4 linked regions of the Saccharomyces cerevisiae S288C genome follow. Changing the gene in region 3 together with the main gene of any one other region gives a genetic interaction. Each region holds a gene or a part of one and is shown on either strand. Other genes may lie near its edges. The genes, in order: PMR1, IXR1, DUN1 and PPH3.

Region 1 (5,250 bases), on a different chromosome or scaffold from region 3:
GACAAAGAAAATGAGAGCAGTGAAGGAGACAAGGGATTACTCGATGACATTACTTGGTATGCGGTAAGCGGATATGAAGCGATAGAGGAAGATGAAGAGGAAGATGAAGAGGAGGACGAAGAGGAAGGAAAAGACGGAGAAGAACGAAAGGAAGAAGAAGAAGAAGAAAATAAATTGGAGGACAAGGATTCGTCGATCACACTACTGGAGTACATCATTCGGCTGACGTCCTTACAAAGTAACGATCAGAAAAGTATATTGGAAGTGAGTGATGAAAGGTTATCTATATATTTGAACGATGAAAATACGAACTCCAGAAAGGATAGAATAAGCAATTCGACAATTGAAGAGACAGAAAAAAAGTTAAAAAACCTAAAACTTTAGGATGGTTACGTATCCTGTGCAGCCTTGGACAAATTTTATAATTGTATATATCTATGTATATGTATACGAATGGAAAAATTTATCCGAATCTCGGCCCGACTGCCAGCTTGCCGGGAGAACAAACAACCGCCAATATATGTATATGTATATTTATATAGATGTCCAGATGCATTATTGTGAATGTGAGTTATGCGAAGATACTTGTTTGTATAGCTCGTTCAACTCATTGATGGAGAATGGAATGTCAATATCGTTTAGTGCTGTGTTCGTAGTTGTATATGCGCTTCCTGTTTCATTGATACTAACAGGTTCCATAGATATACTAGGGCTTTGCTCAAGCGGATCGAGGGAAGCCAAATCAAGATTGTCAATGCTGTCGGCCTTAATTTCTCCGTTTTGCAGAGGTGGCTTCAAACTCGGCAATGTGGTTGTCATGTCTACATCCGACGAGCGACCATTTAGGCCCAAAAGAACGTCCAGATCTGCAATACCGAGACCATTGACATGCGCTGCTTCATCATTTGCCCTTCTGTGGCATGACCCTCCCTTTGATTTCCGGCTGCTTTTCCTCTTGGTATGACATTTACAAGGTTCACCCTCATCACAACGACATCGTGTTTCATCTTCCTTGCTGCCAACAGCTGGCCGTCGTGCAGAGGCACACATGCACCCACCGGATGGGTTGAAGTTCTTGGTTCTTCTCAGCTCTTTACAATGGCCACATGTGGTCGATGGTCTTCCCTTGCGTCTGATCATCTGTAGCGGACCATCAGTGTGAGTACACTGCGCCGCCCTGTGACCCCTGATACACGTTTCACAGGCATATTTGACCCCGTTAATTACGACCATTCTGTGAATACACTGATTATCAGTCCTCTTTTATCAAGCCGCCGTCTAATAAATTACATCGCCATGGCTACTGCTATTTCGTCCACAGCTTAATACTTACCGAACCAGGCCTTGCGGCTCTTACCCTGCGTGCCCGCGCACCCTGGCGACTTCGCCTCGTTTTGGCGATTTTCTTAGCAAATATTCTTTCACGATCGTAGTGGTGGAAGGTGGGTGAAAAGAGTTGCGTTCCTAGCAAGGATCGGTTGGTATCAATTGCACGTTCAGCTCATCCCTAGATAACCACTTAACAGCAAAGCCGATCGTTAAACTTTTGTATTCTACATTCTAGTTGCATTTTTTTTTTTTTTCATTTTGTTACATCAAGACAAGATTCTCTATTTAAAGAAGTACTTTTTTTGTTAACAGTGTGGACCCTACCTATCGTTATATCGAGATCTTGTTCCCTAGGCCATCGTACACTATAGCCCTTCCTTCAAGCACTTAATAGAAAAACCTCTTTTTCTACACCATCATAATAGTGTTTGCTCGCCCCGTTCTTTCCATTCCCATTTATAACAATACTAGTAACTATAATAATATCCTTACGACTGGGCAAGACAAGACGAAGCAAGGCCAGCACAGACGTAAGCTTAAGTGTAAGTAAAAGATAAGATAATTATGAGTGACAATCCATTTAATGCGAGTCTTCTTGACGAGGACTCAAACCGTGAGAGAGAAATACTAGATGCCACAGCAGAGGCCCTTTCGAAACCAAGCCCTTCTTTAGAGTATTGTACTTTATCCGTGGACGAAGCTCTAGAAAAACTGGACACTGACAAAAACGGTGGTTTACGATCATCTAACGAGGCCAACAATAGGAGATCACTTTATGGCCCCAATGAAATAACCGTAGAAGATGATGAAAGTCTTTTCAAGAAGTTCTTGTCAAATTTCATTGAGGATCGAATGATTCTACTTTTAATAGGATCCGCAGTGGTCTCTCTTTTTATGGGTAACATTGATGATGCTGTTAGTATCACACTGGCCATTTTCATAGTTGTCACTGTCGGTTTTGTCCAAGAATATAGGTCTGAAAAATCTCTAGAAGCGTTGAATAAATTGGTTCCTGCTGAATGTCACTTAATGAGATGTGGTCAAGAGAGTCATGTACTGGCTTCCACCTTGGTTCCTGGTGATTTAGTGCACTTCAGAATAGGTGACAGAATCCCCGCAGACATTAGAATTATTGAAGCAATCGATTTATCCATCGATGAAAGTAATTTAACTGGTGAAAATGAACCGGTACATAAAACCTCACAAACGATCGAAAAATCTTCCTTTAACGATCAGCCTAATTCAATTGTACCGATTTCTGAGAGATCTTGTATAGCTTATATGGGTACATTAGTCAAGGAAGGTCATGGTAAGGGTATCGTCGTAGGAACAGGTACAAACACATCCTTTGGTGCCGTTTTTGAAATGATGAATAATATTGAAAAACCGAAGACTCCATTGCAGTTAACAATGGACAAATTGGGAAAGGACTTGTCACTGGTTAGCTTCATAGTTATTGGTATGATTTGTTTAGTTGGTATCATACAAGGTAGATCTTGGTTAGAAATGTTCCAAATATCGGTATCCTTAGCGGTTGCTGCTATTCCAGAAGGGTTACCAATTATTGTCACTGTTACTTTGGCATTGGGTGTTCTGAGAATGGCCAAGCGTAAAGCCATCGTGAGAAGGTTACCAAGTGTCGAAACTTTAGGCTCTGTCAACGTTATCTGCTCCGACAAAACAGGTACACTAACCTCAAACCACATGACCGTATCTAAACTTTGGTGCTTGGACAGTATGTCCAATAAGCTAAACGTCCTCTCATTAGACAAAAATAAGAAGACTAAAAATTCTAATGGAAATTTGAAAAACTATTTGACTGAAGACGTTAGGGAAACTCTAACTATCGGTAATCTCTGTAATAATGCATCTTTCTCTCAAGAACATGCCATATTTCTGGGAAATCCTACTGATGTAGCTCTTTTAGAGCAATTGGCAAACTTTGAAATGCCTGATATCAGAAACACCGTTCAAAAAGTTCAGGAACTTCCATTTAACTCGAAAAGAAAATTAATGGCAACCAAGATTCTCAACCCTGTCGACAATAAGTGTACAGTTTATGTTAAAGGTGCATTTGAAAGAATTCTTGAGTACTCCACAAGTTATTTGAAATCAAAGGGTAAAAAAACTGAAAAGTTGACTGAAGCCCAAAAAGCTACGATAAATGAGTGCGCAAATTCTATGGCATCTGAAGGTTTGCGTGTCTTTGGATTTGCTAAACTAACTTTGTCTGATTCATCAACTCCTCTAACCGAAGACCTAATCAAAGATTTAACCTTTACTGGTTTAATCGGTATGAATGACCCACCAAGACCGAACGTTAAATTTGCCATCGAACAATTACTACAAGGTGGTGTCCATATTATTATGATCACTGGTGATTCTGAGAATACCGCAGTAAACATTGCAAAACAAATTGGTATTCCAGTTATTGATCCAAAGCTTTCCGTTTTATCCGGTGATAAATTAGATGAAATGTCAGATGATCAACTGGCCAATGTCATCGACCACGTTAATATTTTTGCTCGTGCTACGCCTGAGCATAAGTTAAACATTGTTCGTGCATTAAGAAAGAGGGGTGATGTGGTAGCAATGACTGGTGATGGTGTTAACGACGCTCCTGCGTTGAAACTTTCAGATATTGGTGTTTCTATGGGTAGAATTGGTACAGATGTAGCCAAAGAAGCCTCAGATATGGTCTTAACTGATGATGACTTCAGTACTATTTTAACTGCCATTGAAGAGGGTAAAGGTATCTTTAATAATATTCAGAATTTCCTGACTTTTCAATTGTCTACTTCTGTTGCCGCACTATCATTAGTTGCACTATCTACAGCGTTTAAACTACCCAATCCACTGAACGCAATGCAAATTCTTTGGATAAATATTTTAATGGATGGGCCACCAGCTCAATCCTTAGGTGTGGAACCTGTTGATCATGAAGTTATGAAAAAACCTCCAAGAAAACGTACCGATAAAATTTTGACCCATGATGTAATGAAACGTTTACTAACCACCGCGGCCTGTATCATCGTTGGGACAGTTTACATTTTTGTTAAAGAGATGGCCGAAGATGGTAAAGTAACTGCTAGAGATACTACTATGACATTTACTTGTTTTGTTTTTTTTGATATGTTTAATGCTTTGGCCTGCAGACATAACACAAAGTCAATCTTCGAAATCGGCTTTTTCACGAACAAAATGTTCAACTACGCCGTTGGACTGTCTCTGTTAGGTCAAATGTGCGCTATATATATACCATTTTTCCAAAGTATCTTTAAAACTGAGAAACTTGGTATCTCTGATATACTATTGTTATTGCTCATCAGCAGTAGCGTTTTCATCGTTGATGAATTGAGAAAATTGTGGACGAGGAAAAAGAATGAAGAAGACTCAACGTATTTCTCAAATGTTTGATATGTCACATTTTGTGCTTTTATCGTTTTTCCTTCCTTCCCTTTATCTTTCATGAGGACGCCCAACCCTATTGAGGTAAATGTACTAATTAATGGGAACATATGTAGATGTATATATGTACATATATTTACAACGGATACTAAGATAAACATGTATGGGCGACTTTTCGTATATACAAAGCAATATAAAATTTTATTCTTTCCTTCTTTTTCCGGACTAGATATAAAATCTCCGTAATCAGTGGTTATGATTTTCAAAAGTTAATCACAGTTTTATTTAAAACTGTATACAATTATTTGCAGCCGCCTTTCGCAATCTGTTCATAACAGCTAATCCTTCTCCTTCCTCATTTATACCTTCGACAAATATTAGGTCTACTTTATCATTTTCATCCACTTTTCTTAAAGCTGCAAACAAGTTAGTCTGTATTTCTTCACCAGATTGGCCAAGTCTTTCGATGATGAAAGTTTTCGAAGAAAAATCGGGTTCATTAAAGATCTTAGA
Region 2 (4,238 bases), on a different chromosome or scaffold from region 3:
TTTGTCTAGGCAGGGTATCGTTTGATGTAATAAATTTTGTCTGCTTTGTAACGAGTGTTTCTGACATGTTTCAAACATATTTTATGTGTAAGTTGATAAGTCGCCCTTGTGTATCGTACAACTATGCCACTTTAAAATGATCAATTTTACAGATTAATAGGTTTCGTGGTCTAGTCGGTTATGGCATCTGCTTAACACGCAGAACGTCCCCAGTTCGATCCTGGGCGAAATCAATTAATTTTTTTGGCTTCATCACGCTCGTCAGTTGAGCTCGCACAGCATCAGAGGCAAACTTGAATTTGGCTTAAGTATATTACAAAAACAAGAAGGAGGGAAGACTACACACATGCGTATATGTATACAGGCAAATACATATAGACTGAAGTTAGAAAAAGGGAAAGAAAAATTATTATTAAATAAAGTAAAATTTGTAGTAATAGGAAATAGAGTAGTACAATATAAAACAAATGTTGAAAAAGGAATTCCTTATTCTCGTTGTTTGCGTGGGATAATGTTACAGTGGAAAACTAAAGTTGTTTATTTGTTATTCATTTTTTATGATCGAACCATTTGTAGTGGGGTCAGCCAATAACATGTGTTGTTGTTGTTGCTGCTGTTGTTGTTGTTGTTGGAGCGGCTGCTGCTGTAATGAAATCGGAGGAGAAACGGGCGTATTTGGGTTGGTACTGTTACTGTTGCTTCCGGTAACTGAGTCGATGGCATTTGCGGTTATGTGCTCGATACTGTCTTGGTTCTCCATGATTTTAGTGTCCATATTCAAATTCATGTTCATGGCCTTATGTGAGTGACCGGTTGGGTTACCGTTTGGATCATTTTCGTCGGGATAACAACTTTCCCATTCCTTTAATCTTTTCTTGTAAGTTTCAGTGTATTCCGCCTTTTTGGCAGGGTCTAACTCGCGCCATCTTTCACCGATTATCTTGGTAATTTCGATTAAACCTTTATCAGGATTTTCCTTGACGACGGTAGGTCTAATCTCCTGGGTGAACTGAATAAAGGGACCAGAGGGTCTCTTTGGGGGCAAAGTCTTTTCGTAAGCATCTCTCACAACTCTGTACTTCTCCCAGTTGGTTCTGAATTCTTCGTAGAATGGTTTTTTTTGATCATCCGTTAACTCTTTCCACCTTGCAGAAGCCAATTTAGACAATTCGGGGACCTTTGCTTCAGGGAATTGTTGAAGCAACTCATTTCTTATGGACATAGAAAACAGGAAATAAGCGGAAGAAGGTCTCTTTGGGCCTTGCTTTTTCAGTTGTTTTCTTCTCTCAATTCTGCTTTGAGTGGAAGATAATTTCTTCACCACTGGATGCTGTTGTTGCTGCTGTTGCTGTTGTAGATGATGATGTTGTTGTTGAAGTTGTTGTTGTTGTTGCAACTGGTGTTGCTGTTGTAGCTGCTGCTGTTGCTGCAACTGCTGTTGTTGTTGTAATTGCAGCTGTTGCTGCATCTGCTGCTGGTGGTGAGTCAATTGAGGTTGCAGATTGGGTGGTAACAAACCAGGATGAGTAGCGGTGTTGGCATTTCCTGCAGCATTTCCTGCAGAGGAAGGGTCCAAAAGACTAGACAGAGCGTTCATGTTGTTCGGGTAGTATCTCTGCACCTGTGGGAGCTGAGACAAGTACGAAGCCGGGCCAGCAGCATTGTTTGCGGCGGCCGCAGCAGCCGTGGCAGGGTTTAATTGGGAGGCTGCCAGCTGGGCAGGATTACTGCTAGTGCTGTTATTGCCGCTACTAACATTGTTGTTGTTACTGTTGTTGTTACTAGACGCGCCTGTACCCGTGACAGAAGGGTTTGTCTGTTTTTGAGTTAAATGACTTAAAAAGGAGTTGTAAAACTCGGAAAATTGTTGTTGATTGATCGTCGGATAGTTTTGGCCCGATCCGGTTTGTTGCATGTAACCGAAATCCTGAGGTAGCGCGTTAACATTAACATTGTTGTTTGAATTTGAGTTCGAATTAGCATACTGTTGTTGTTGTTGTTGCTGTTGTTGTTGTTGCGACTGCGAAGTAGGTTGCGTCAAAGATTGTGGAGGTAGTGGATAATAAACATTTTGCTGTTGTTGTTGAGGCGACTGCTGGAAGTGACCTTGATAAGGCGCTTGTTGTTGTTGCTGTTGTTGCTGCTGCTGCTGCTGTTGTTGTTGTTGAGGCTGGGCTTGAAACTGGTTCAAGTATTGGTGAGGTGTCTGGTGAGAAGCATCTCTGTACTGGGAGTCGTTGTGTTCGAGACCCTGATACTGCAGCGAATGGTCTTGGCCTATGTTGAGTAAGTTGGAGTTAGAGGCGTCGTCCTGTTTGGGCGAGATACCGGTGTTCATTGCAGTTGTGGGTACTGTTAGCGTCGTACGTATATCACAGAATGGATAGAAGAAGGGGATATAGTTGTGGTCTTGCCTTGACTTGCGTTGCCTTGCCTTGTCTGTGTGTAATAGAGTTCTTTGTGGGATATCAGAGCGAATAAACTTCAGCGTCACAGTCTCGGTAGCAGTAGCTGTTAGGCAGTGACCTAGCAGTAGAGGAAACAGAATACAATGCAGTACGATTACGGTACAGAGGATAACGAAGTAAACCACATTTACAGCGAGAACGAGAGACAGAAGGAGAGAGAGAACGAATGCGCCGGGCCGTGTCTATACTTGGCTCCACCAGCTGATGTGTGCATTTTTTTTTTGTTCCCATTCGTTCTCTCACCAAGGGGAGGTGGAAAAGAAAAGAAGAAAAAGAAAGTAAGGAAGGTCCGCTGCGCCTCTCCTTTGCTGCTGTTGCATCCGGACATCACACCCAACACAAAACCCCGCGCGGCCGTCGTCAGTAACCGTTCCACCCATTCCTCCACGGTATGTAGATCGCTAAGCACGATGTGTATGTTTTATGGATATGTGCCGATTTTTTCCGCATTTGGTATCATATTTTGTTTTGATAATTACCGTTCTTGTTATTGCTAGTTGCTTGGGTTAATGTTCTTGTGCTATTGTTGCTGTTGTTATTGTTTTTATTATTGTATTATTGTATTATTATTATATTATTATTATTATTATTATTATTATTATTATTACGGTATGTCAAGTATTATTTTTTTTTTAAAAATAAAGAAAAAAATTGTACAAATATATATATTTATATATTACTCTATATGGTTTTTTTTTTTTAAGTGCAGGCGTTGGTTATGCTTCGTCTACAATTGGTTGGTGTGCACCGATGGGTCATGTTGGACCTTGATCATAGGTCTGTACACAGGCTCCCACATTTGGGCTTTGACCCACTGTAAACATTCGTCAAAGTCACGAGGAACCTTGACAGTTTCGCCGGGAGCTCCTCCCGGTACTTGTTCTTGCTCGATACGGGCGGTTCCCTCCTCGAGTGCTTGCAAGATCACAGCGGTAGCTAGACGCGCAGAAGTGTTGGTGATGGTGTCCAGGCCGGGTAGCAACCCAGGTCTCGAGTCGCCCTCTCTTAGTGGCGACAATTCGGCTAGTTGGTCCACTGCAGCGGAGATCATCTTGTCTGTGATGGTGGTGGCACGCGATAGTACGGCACCTAAACCGATACCTGGGAAAGAGTAACAATTGTTGTTCTCCGAGATACGGTAACCATCAACAGGTGGGAAAGGAGATCCGGTAGCTACAAGAGCGTTGTTGTTGGTCCACTTCATTAAATCGGCAGGAACGGCTTCGTGTAGTCTAGTAGGGTTGGATAATGGGAAAATGATCGGTCTAGGATTGTGCTTGTGCATTTCTTCTACGACATCTTGAGTGAATGCGCCTGCTTGTGTGGAGCAGCCAACCAAACACGTTGGTTTGACGTTCTCCACCACATCATGTAAAGAGCGGGTGTTGATACCAGCCCATTCCGCATCACTCTTAGCGTATACGTGTTGGGCGGGAGTGGAGTTAGCCTCGTAAGATTGTAGAATTAACCCACGTCTGTCCATCAAGAAGATTTTCTTGCGCGCTTCTTCCTTGTCAACGCCGTGCGTGACCATATGATTCACAATTTGATCTGCGATACCGAGGCCCGCAGACCCGGCACCGTAAATAAGCACTCTGGTGTCTTTCAAGTCTCTGTTGGTATGTTTCAAAGCAGCAATCAACGAGGCCATCACGACGGCACCGGTGCCCTGAATGTCATCGTTGAATGATGGCAATTCGTACCTGTACTTTTCTAGTAATCTTCTAGCGTTCTTAACACCGAAATCTTCGAAATGCAGAACGGCGCTTG
Region 3 (3,633 bases):
CGAACGGTATGTTCGTTGTGAAATCCATTAAAATTAACACAGGCTCTCAAAAAGGAGGCTTGATGAGCTTTATTAAAAAAGTTGAGGCTTGTAAAAGTTGTAAAGGTCCGTTGAGGAAAGGTGAAGGCCCTCTTTGTTCAAACTGTCTAGCAAGGTCTGGAGAATTATACATAAAGGCATTATACGATGTCAGAGATTTAGAGGAAAAATACTCAAGATTATGGACACAATGCCAAAGGTGCGCTGGTAACTTACATAGTGAAGTTTTGTGTTCAAATAAGAACTGTGACATTTTTTATATGCGGGTTAAGGTTAAAAAAGAGCTGCAGGAGAAAGTAGAACAATTAAGCAAATGGTAAAAAACGATAGGGTGGCACATCATATTAGGATTAAGAAAGGCTAACAACTTTTTGCATGTTGGTGGATATATATGTATATATAAATAGATACTTGGAAAAATCCAGATTCAAACAATGTTTTTGAAATAATGCTTCTCATGTTTAGAGGCAAGATAATTCTGAGTATGTTTTGGGTATTTTATTGTCAGTAATTTGTAAACGCTGCAATTCTAATGAGACCGAGCTTTGTTGCTGTATGTCATTGAACCAAGGGTGGTTCAAAGCTTCATCTATATTGTACCTTTCATCAGGATTTAGGACCAAAAGATTGGATATTAAATGTAGTACTGAGTCATCGATTTTATCCCAGTACGGAGAGTAAAACGCATACTTAGCTTGTAAGATCTGTTCCTTCAATGAAGGTGGCCCCAATTGATCACTGAATGGAGGAAAACCACATAAACAGACATATAATATGACACCAGCACTCCAAAGATCTACTTTTGATGTGTATCCTTTCTTTGTGAGGACTTCGGGCGCTACATAAGAAGGCGTACCACAAAGTGTGTTTGTGAATTGCATTTCTCCTGTAAATTTTGCTAGGCCAAAATCCGCTATTTTAACTTGAATATCAATTTCATCTTCATCCCATGGGCCAAGTTGGACTTGACTTGGATTTTCGCGCCTTGTTATATTTAATAAGATATTTTCTGGCTTGATGTCTCTGTGAATGATGTTTTGCTCATGCAGATACTTCAATCCGGTAAGTAACTGTTTGAATAGAGCTTTGGATTCATCCTGTCTCAAACATGTTTTTCTGACGATTCTTTCAAATAGTTCGCCATCGTCGATCTTTTCCAGTACCAAATATTTTTGAATCTGAGATTTGCTGATTGGCTCTACAAAACTATCTAGTAAGTTGACAATGTTTGGATGTTGCACTCTCATTAGGATGTTAGTTTCCTCCCTAAATTGTTTATTCTTTTTTTGGTCGTCATTTTGCTGAGCGTGGAATATTTTCACAGCTACTTGCTGACCAGTTTTTTTGTTTTTGGCTTCTTTCACCAGGGCGTAGTGCCCTGCACCTAATTCTTTACCTAATAAATATTTATCAAAGAACGACACAGGCCTTGTCTTATTCAGTTTTCTAATTGCGGCACTCGTTGTAGCATTTTGGCTACTTGTAGCACTTATTTGCGGTTTCTTGAAAACTTCGTCGTCGTTCTTATATGAACGACTTTCTGAACTTACCTTTTCATCGTCATTTTCGATGTCAGTAGAAGATGAAGATGCGTACTTGAACAAAAAGGAGCAACTTTTGCCAAAGACAATTCTGTCACCATTCTTAAGGATGTAGTCTTTCTTCACCAAACGATTACCATTAATAAAAGTTCCGTTTCTGCTCTTATCGATAACATTAATCAAATTTCTTTGGAAATTATCCACATCCATTTGCAGTAGATGAAACTCAGCATGGAAAGTCGAGATGTCAGGCTCACTCAATATAACGTCGCACGACCTACTTCTACCGATTGTAGTAACGTTTCTATTTGTTATTTCCACTTTTTGCTCCTTTCCGGGTATTAAGTTCACCAGATGGCCCAGACAAGTGTATTCTGAGCTGGGCTTATTACTTCGTTGCTGTCTTTTGAATGAAGAGTCAGTTACATCACCAGAGTGCTCTCTTTTCGTGGACAAACTCATCTTCACTATAATTGCCTTTTTTACTGTATGTTAAGCCCCTTTACTTGTTACTCTCGACTATAAAGGGTTCTCATTTCCTCCTTTTTCAACAATATCTAATAATTTTCCAAAATCATTTGAAAAATACCATGGAAATAAAATGGAAAAAAGTAAACAAACGCGTCGCGTCACGTAATTTTTTTCTTTTCACACACATACCATCGTATTACTATTTTTTCTATGGTTATATGTCGTATGTATCTATTTATGGTATTCAGGGGCTTCTATTCCTTATCTTCTAACTCATAAATGACTTTGCCATCAGTAATAGGGTTATATTCTTTGTTTAGGAACTGTGAGAACTTTGTTAAGTTATTTAAGCCTCTGATTTCTCCAGCACATAATGGCATTTTAACGACATGGAAATCTTCGTACAATTCGTCGATTTGGTCCAAGTACTTCTTTTGCATCTTCCATCTTGCCTGACATCTCTTACAGTTGTGCTCTTGATCGTTTTCAGCAAATAATAATTGGTTGACAATGATGGAATTAACGTCCATATCGTAGGAAATCAATTCCTGAATTAGTCTTTCAGTTTCATATAAGGATAAGAATTCACTGATACAAACGCAAACAAAAGTCGTTAGGTCAGGATCCGTGAATTGTTGTCTGATGGTCTCGACATTAGCCTTTAACTCGTTCAATTTTCCAGAGATATCGACATTACCTGCGCCCATAAAAGAGTTTAGCATTGGGCCCAATTTGTTGGTAATTTCACCGAACTTTTCCAAAAGCTTGGATAAAGTATTTGGTAGTTGTAGAAATCTTAATGTGTGGCCAGTTGGAGCAGTGTCAAAAATAACAGTATCGAAGGTTTCACCTTCGCCCTGTTCTTGCCTTTTAATGTGCTTCATGACTTCCATGAAGGATAAAGCTTCGTCGATACCAGGGATGGAACCGGTCAAATCAGCAAGAGCACCACCTTGAAGCAAGCTTCCTAGATCGTCACCTTGACCGTCACTTCCGTTATTGTTAGCGCGTGAAACTGCCATGTCGTTCATATCCTTCAAAGCAGCGGATGGATCGATTTCCATACATGATAGATTATTCATGCCTGTCACCTTTCTGGCGTCTTTACCAAATTTCTCACCGAATGCATCACTTAAGTTATGGGCAGGATCAGTAGAGATCAGTAGGAACTGTTTGTTTGGTTGACTCAAAGCCATTTGGATAGCAATGGAACATGATGAAGTAGTCTTACCAACACCACCTTTACCACCAACGAAAATCCACTTATGAGTGGTAGAGGTAATTAAAGAGTGCAAATTAGGTTCCACGGTTAAATCCATAATTACAATGTGATGATCTTCTTGTTCTTGTCGTACGTTTTCCTAAACGCTGCGTTGGCTTCCCTCAACTTGTTTGAAGTTGCCACCGTTTTATCCATTTTCGCTTTTGAAAAAAAAAAAATGGTTGAGAATCCCCAGCACTATTAATTAGTACTATTGTTACGAAGATCTTGTGATAAAAAAGGGATGTAATAATTTGCATTGAACCAACCTGAATTGAGCAAGTTTATCATATAGTTACAATGTCTGAACAGGAGTCTGAT
Region 4 (3,370 bases), 320 kb from region 3:
GGAAATCCATTGATCTTAAGTGAGTTTTCTGGCTCTAGTAACGTATTGAAAGATGCCATTGTGGTTAACCCATGGGATTCGGTGGCCGTGGCTAAATCTATTAACATGGCTTTGAAATTGGACAAGGAAGAAAAGTCCAATTTAGAATCAAAATTATGGAAAGAAGTTCCTACAATTCAAGATTGGACTAATAAGTTTTTGAGTTCATTAAAGGAACAGGCGTCATCTAATGATGATATGGAAAGGAAAATGACTCCAGCACTTAATAGACCTGTTCTTTTAGAAAATTACAAGCAGGCTAAGCGTAGATTGTTCCTTTTTGATTACGATGGTACTTTGACCCCAATTGTCAAAGACCCAGCTGCAGCTATTCCATCGGCAAGACTTTATACAATTCTACAAAAATTATGTGCTGATCCTCATAATCAAATCTGGATTATTTCTGGTCGTGACCAGAAGTTTTTGAACAAGTGGTTAGGCGGTAAACTTCCTCAACTGGGTCTAAGTGCGGAGCATGGATGTTTCATGAAAGATGTTTCTTGCCAAGATTGGGTCAATTTGACCGAAAAAGTTGATATGTCTTGGCAAGTACGCGTCAATGAAGTGATGGAAGAATTTACCACAAGGACCCCAGGTTCATTCATCGAAAGAAAGAAAGTCGCTCTAACTTGGCATTATAGACGTACCGTTCCAGAATTGGGTGAATTCCACGCCAAAGAACTGAAAGAAAAATTGTTATCATTTACTGATGACTTTGATTTAGAGGTCATGGATGGTAAAGCAAACATTGAAGTTCGTCCAAGATTCGTCAACAAAGGTGAAATAGTCAAGAGACTAGTCTGGCATCAACATGGCAAACCACAGGACATGTTGAAGGGAATCAGTGAAAAACTACCTAAGGATGAAATGCCTGATTTTGTATTATGTTTGGGTGATGACTTCACTGACGAAGACATGTTTAGACAGTTGAATACCATTGAAACTTGTTGGAAAGAAAAATATCCTGACCAAAAAAATCAATGGGGCAACTACGGATTCTATCCTGTCACTGTGGGATCTGCATCCAAGAAAACTGTCGCAAAGGCTCATTTAACCGATCCTCAGCAAGTCCTGGAGACTTTAGGTTTACTTGTTGGTGATGTCTCTCTCTTCCAAAGTGCTGGTACGGTCGACCTGGATTCCAGAGGTCATGTCAAGAATAGTGAGAGCAGTTTGAAATCAAAGCTAGCATCTAAAGCTTATGTTATGAAAAGATCGGCTTCTTACACCGGCGCAAAGGTTTGAAACACCCTTTTTAACGAAATGGTTATGACTAGACAGACATCTTACGTCTTACTCCTTCATGCTTTATTTTTTTCTTTGTATTGTATTTGAACAGTCAATATGTGGTGTTGCGACGAAGGCATATATATAATAGTCTCAACCCACCATTTTCGAAGATTTACATACACATTATATTTTTATAAACTTCCAATATGTAATAACTTTATATGATATGTAACTTCTCACTATTATCCTTACTATTAAACGGTTTTTAATAAATATCATTGTTCTTTGTTTTATTAATGAGAAAAAGAAATTTAATACAATGTCCGGCGGGAAGAAAAAAAATCGATGAATTAATTGAAAAAAAGTATCTTTATCATGTGAACTGAGGAGAAGAACGGCATCTCGAAAAGAGCACGTCGAAACAGCGGTAGGTAAAAGAGGGTACTACCAGAGGTCTTTTCTCTTTATACGTTAACCTCTCAGCTTTTTCTTTTGCAATTCAGGACACTTTAACTTGTAGTCACACGCTAGTCCACGTAGCAAAGTAAAACAGCACGAAAAAAGTGATTACAAATTTCAAGGGAGATATGATGGACTTAGATAAGATTATAGCATCACTGAGAGACGGAAAACATATTCCTGAAGAAACCGTTTTTAGGCTATGTTTAAATTCACAGGAACTATTAATGAATGAAGGCAATGTAACACAAGTCGATACACCGGTTACAATATGCGGTGATATACATGGCCAATTACACGATCTACTAACGCTCTTCGAAAAGAGTGGTGGTGTAGAGAAAACAAGGTATATTTTCTTGGGCGATTTTGTGGATAGGGGATTTTACTCATTGGAGAGTTTTTTACTTTTACTATGTTACAAATTAAGATATCCTGATAGGATTACTTTAATTAGAGGCAATCACGAAACCCGGCAAATTACTAAAGTATACGGATTTTACGATGAAGTAGTAAGAAAATATGGTAATAGTAACGTATGGAGGTACTGCTGTGAAGTTTTTGATTATTTATCATTGGGGGCAATAATAAACAATAGCATATTCTGTGTTCATGGTGGATTATCTCCGGATATGACCACGGTTGATGAAATACGAACAATAGACAGGAAACAAGAAGTTCCACATGAAGGTGCTATGTGTGACTTATTATGGAGCGACCCCGAAGACGTTGACACATGGTCATTATCACCAAGAGGTGCTGGATTTCTTTTCGGTAAAAGAGAAGTTGATCAATTCTTAGAGAAAAACAACGTTGAGTTAATTGCTAGAGCTCATCAGTTAGTGATGGAAGGTTACAAAGAAATGTTCGACGGTGGATTAGTGACAGTCTGGTCGGCACCGAATTACTGTTATCGTTGTGGTAATGTAGCAGCTGTATTGAAGATAGACGACGATTTGAATCGTGAATATACAATTTTTGAAGCTGTTCAGGCACAAAATGAAGTCGGAAATGCTATAATTCCAACCAAAAAATCTCAAATGGACTATTTCTTATAAATTTTTAACAGGCACTCTAATTGTCAAGTGCATTTTTCTTTTTTTCTTCATAATGCAATAAAGGAAAAAAAATTGTAATATTACATACTTCTTTTCACATCTTAGCTAATTAACAATATGGCTTTTGAATACTAATATATACCCAGCTACCGTTTCTTCTTTTATTTTTTATTCCTTTTTTTCTTCAGTAGAATATGTTATAGATGCGGAGGTCCCCTAAGTTCTTCACGTGTTCTCTTCTCATCGCGTTTGATATGAAAAATAGAAAAAAATACATAGTAGCATGACTAACTAATAATAAGCTCCGCTATCAAAGATGTCAAGTACATTAAGGAAAGCTTTTAGATAAGGAAAAGAACTTATTAATAATATATAATATGAAAATATGTCGCTTGGTATACCACTTTCCCAATTAATAGTAGAAAGTCCAAAGCCATTAAGTAGCGGCATCACAGGATTAGATGAGATATTAAACCTGGGATTCCAGGCAAGGTCGATCTACGAAATATTTGGGCCTCCGGGCATTGGCAAGACTAATTTTGGCATTCAATTGGTGTGTAATTCGTTAGAAGGCATACAACAATCGG

The links.
Region 1: mutations in DUN1 (region 3) and PMR1 together harm fitness more than expected from each alone (negative genetic interaction), as found in Saccharomyces cerevisiae (5 studies listed by BioGRID, with this or other methods).
Region 2: mutations in DUN1 (region 3) and IXR1 together harm fitness more than expected from each alone (negative genetic interaction), as found in Saccharomyces cerevisiae (7 studies listed by BioGRID, with this or other methods).
Region 4: mutations in DUN1 (region 3) and PPH3 together harm fitness more than expected from each alone (negative genetic interaction), as found in Saccharomyces cerevisiae (7 studies listed by BioGRID, with this or other methods).

Annotation. Positions count from the first base shown.
Region 1 is NC_001139.9:187,112-192,361, reverse strand, and holds PMR1 (Ca(2+)/Mn(2+)-transporting P-type ATPase PMR1), read left to right. Parts: upstream 1-1,893; coding exon 1,894-4,746; downstream 4,747-5,250. Other genes in the region: YRB30 (Yrb30p), read left to right, coding at 1-384; CUP2 (Cup2p), read right to left, coding at 556-1,233; HUR1 (Hur1p), read right to left, coding at 4,566-4,898; SUA5 (threonylcarbamoyladenylate synthase), read right to left, coding at 5,023-5,250. UniProt on the Saccharomyces cerevisiae protein: This magnesium-dependent enzyme catalyzes the hydrolysis of ATP coupled with the transport of calcium. Has a role in the secretory pathway.
Region 2 is NC_001143.9:379,521-383,758, forward strand, and holds IXR1 (DNA-binding transcription repressor IXR1), read right to left. Parts: upstream 2,339-4,238; coding exon 545-2,338; downstream 1-544. Other genes in the region: MAE1 (malate dehydrogenase (oxaloacetate-decarboxylating)), read right to left, coding at 3,196-4,238. UniProt on the Saccharomyces cerevisiae protein: Binds to platinated DNA and confers sensitivity to the anticancer drug cisplatin. Activate the expression of the COX5B gene.
Region 3 is NC_001136.10:279,807-283,439, forward strand, and holds DUN1 (serine/threonine protein kinase DUN1), read right to left. Parts: upstream 2,043-3,633; coding exon 501-2,042; downstream 1-500. Other genes in the region: DNA-directed DNA polymerase delta POL3, read left to right, coding at 1-359; guanine nucleotide exchange factor GET3, read right to left, coding at 2,306-3,370; BUG1 (Bug1p), read left to right, coding at 3,613-3,633. UniProt on the Saccharomyces cerevisiae protein: Transducer of the DNA damage signal. Phosphorylates SML1 on serine residues. Cooperates with the PAN deadenylation complex in the regulation of RAD5 mRNA levels and cell survival in response to replicational stress.
Region 4 is NC_001136.10:595,300-598,669, forward strand, and holds PPH3 (phosphoprotein phosphatase PP4 catalytic subunit PPH3), read left to right. Parts: upstream 1-1,856; coding exon 1,857-2,783; downstream 2,784-3,370. Other genes in the region: trehalose-phosphatase TPS2, read left to right, coding at 1-1,284; putative DNA-dependent ATPase RAD55, read left to right, coding at 3,169-3,370. UniProt on the Saccharomyces cerevisiae protein: Forms the histone H2A phosphatase complex in association with the regulatory subunits PSY2 and PSY4, which dephosphorylates H2AS128ph (gamma-H2A) that has been displaced from sites of DNA lesions in the double-stranded DNA break repair process.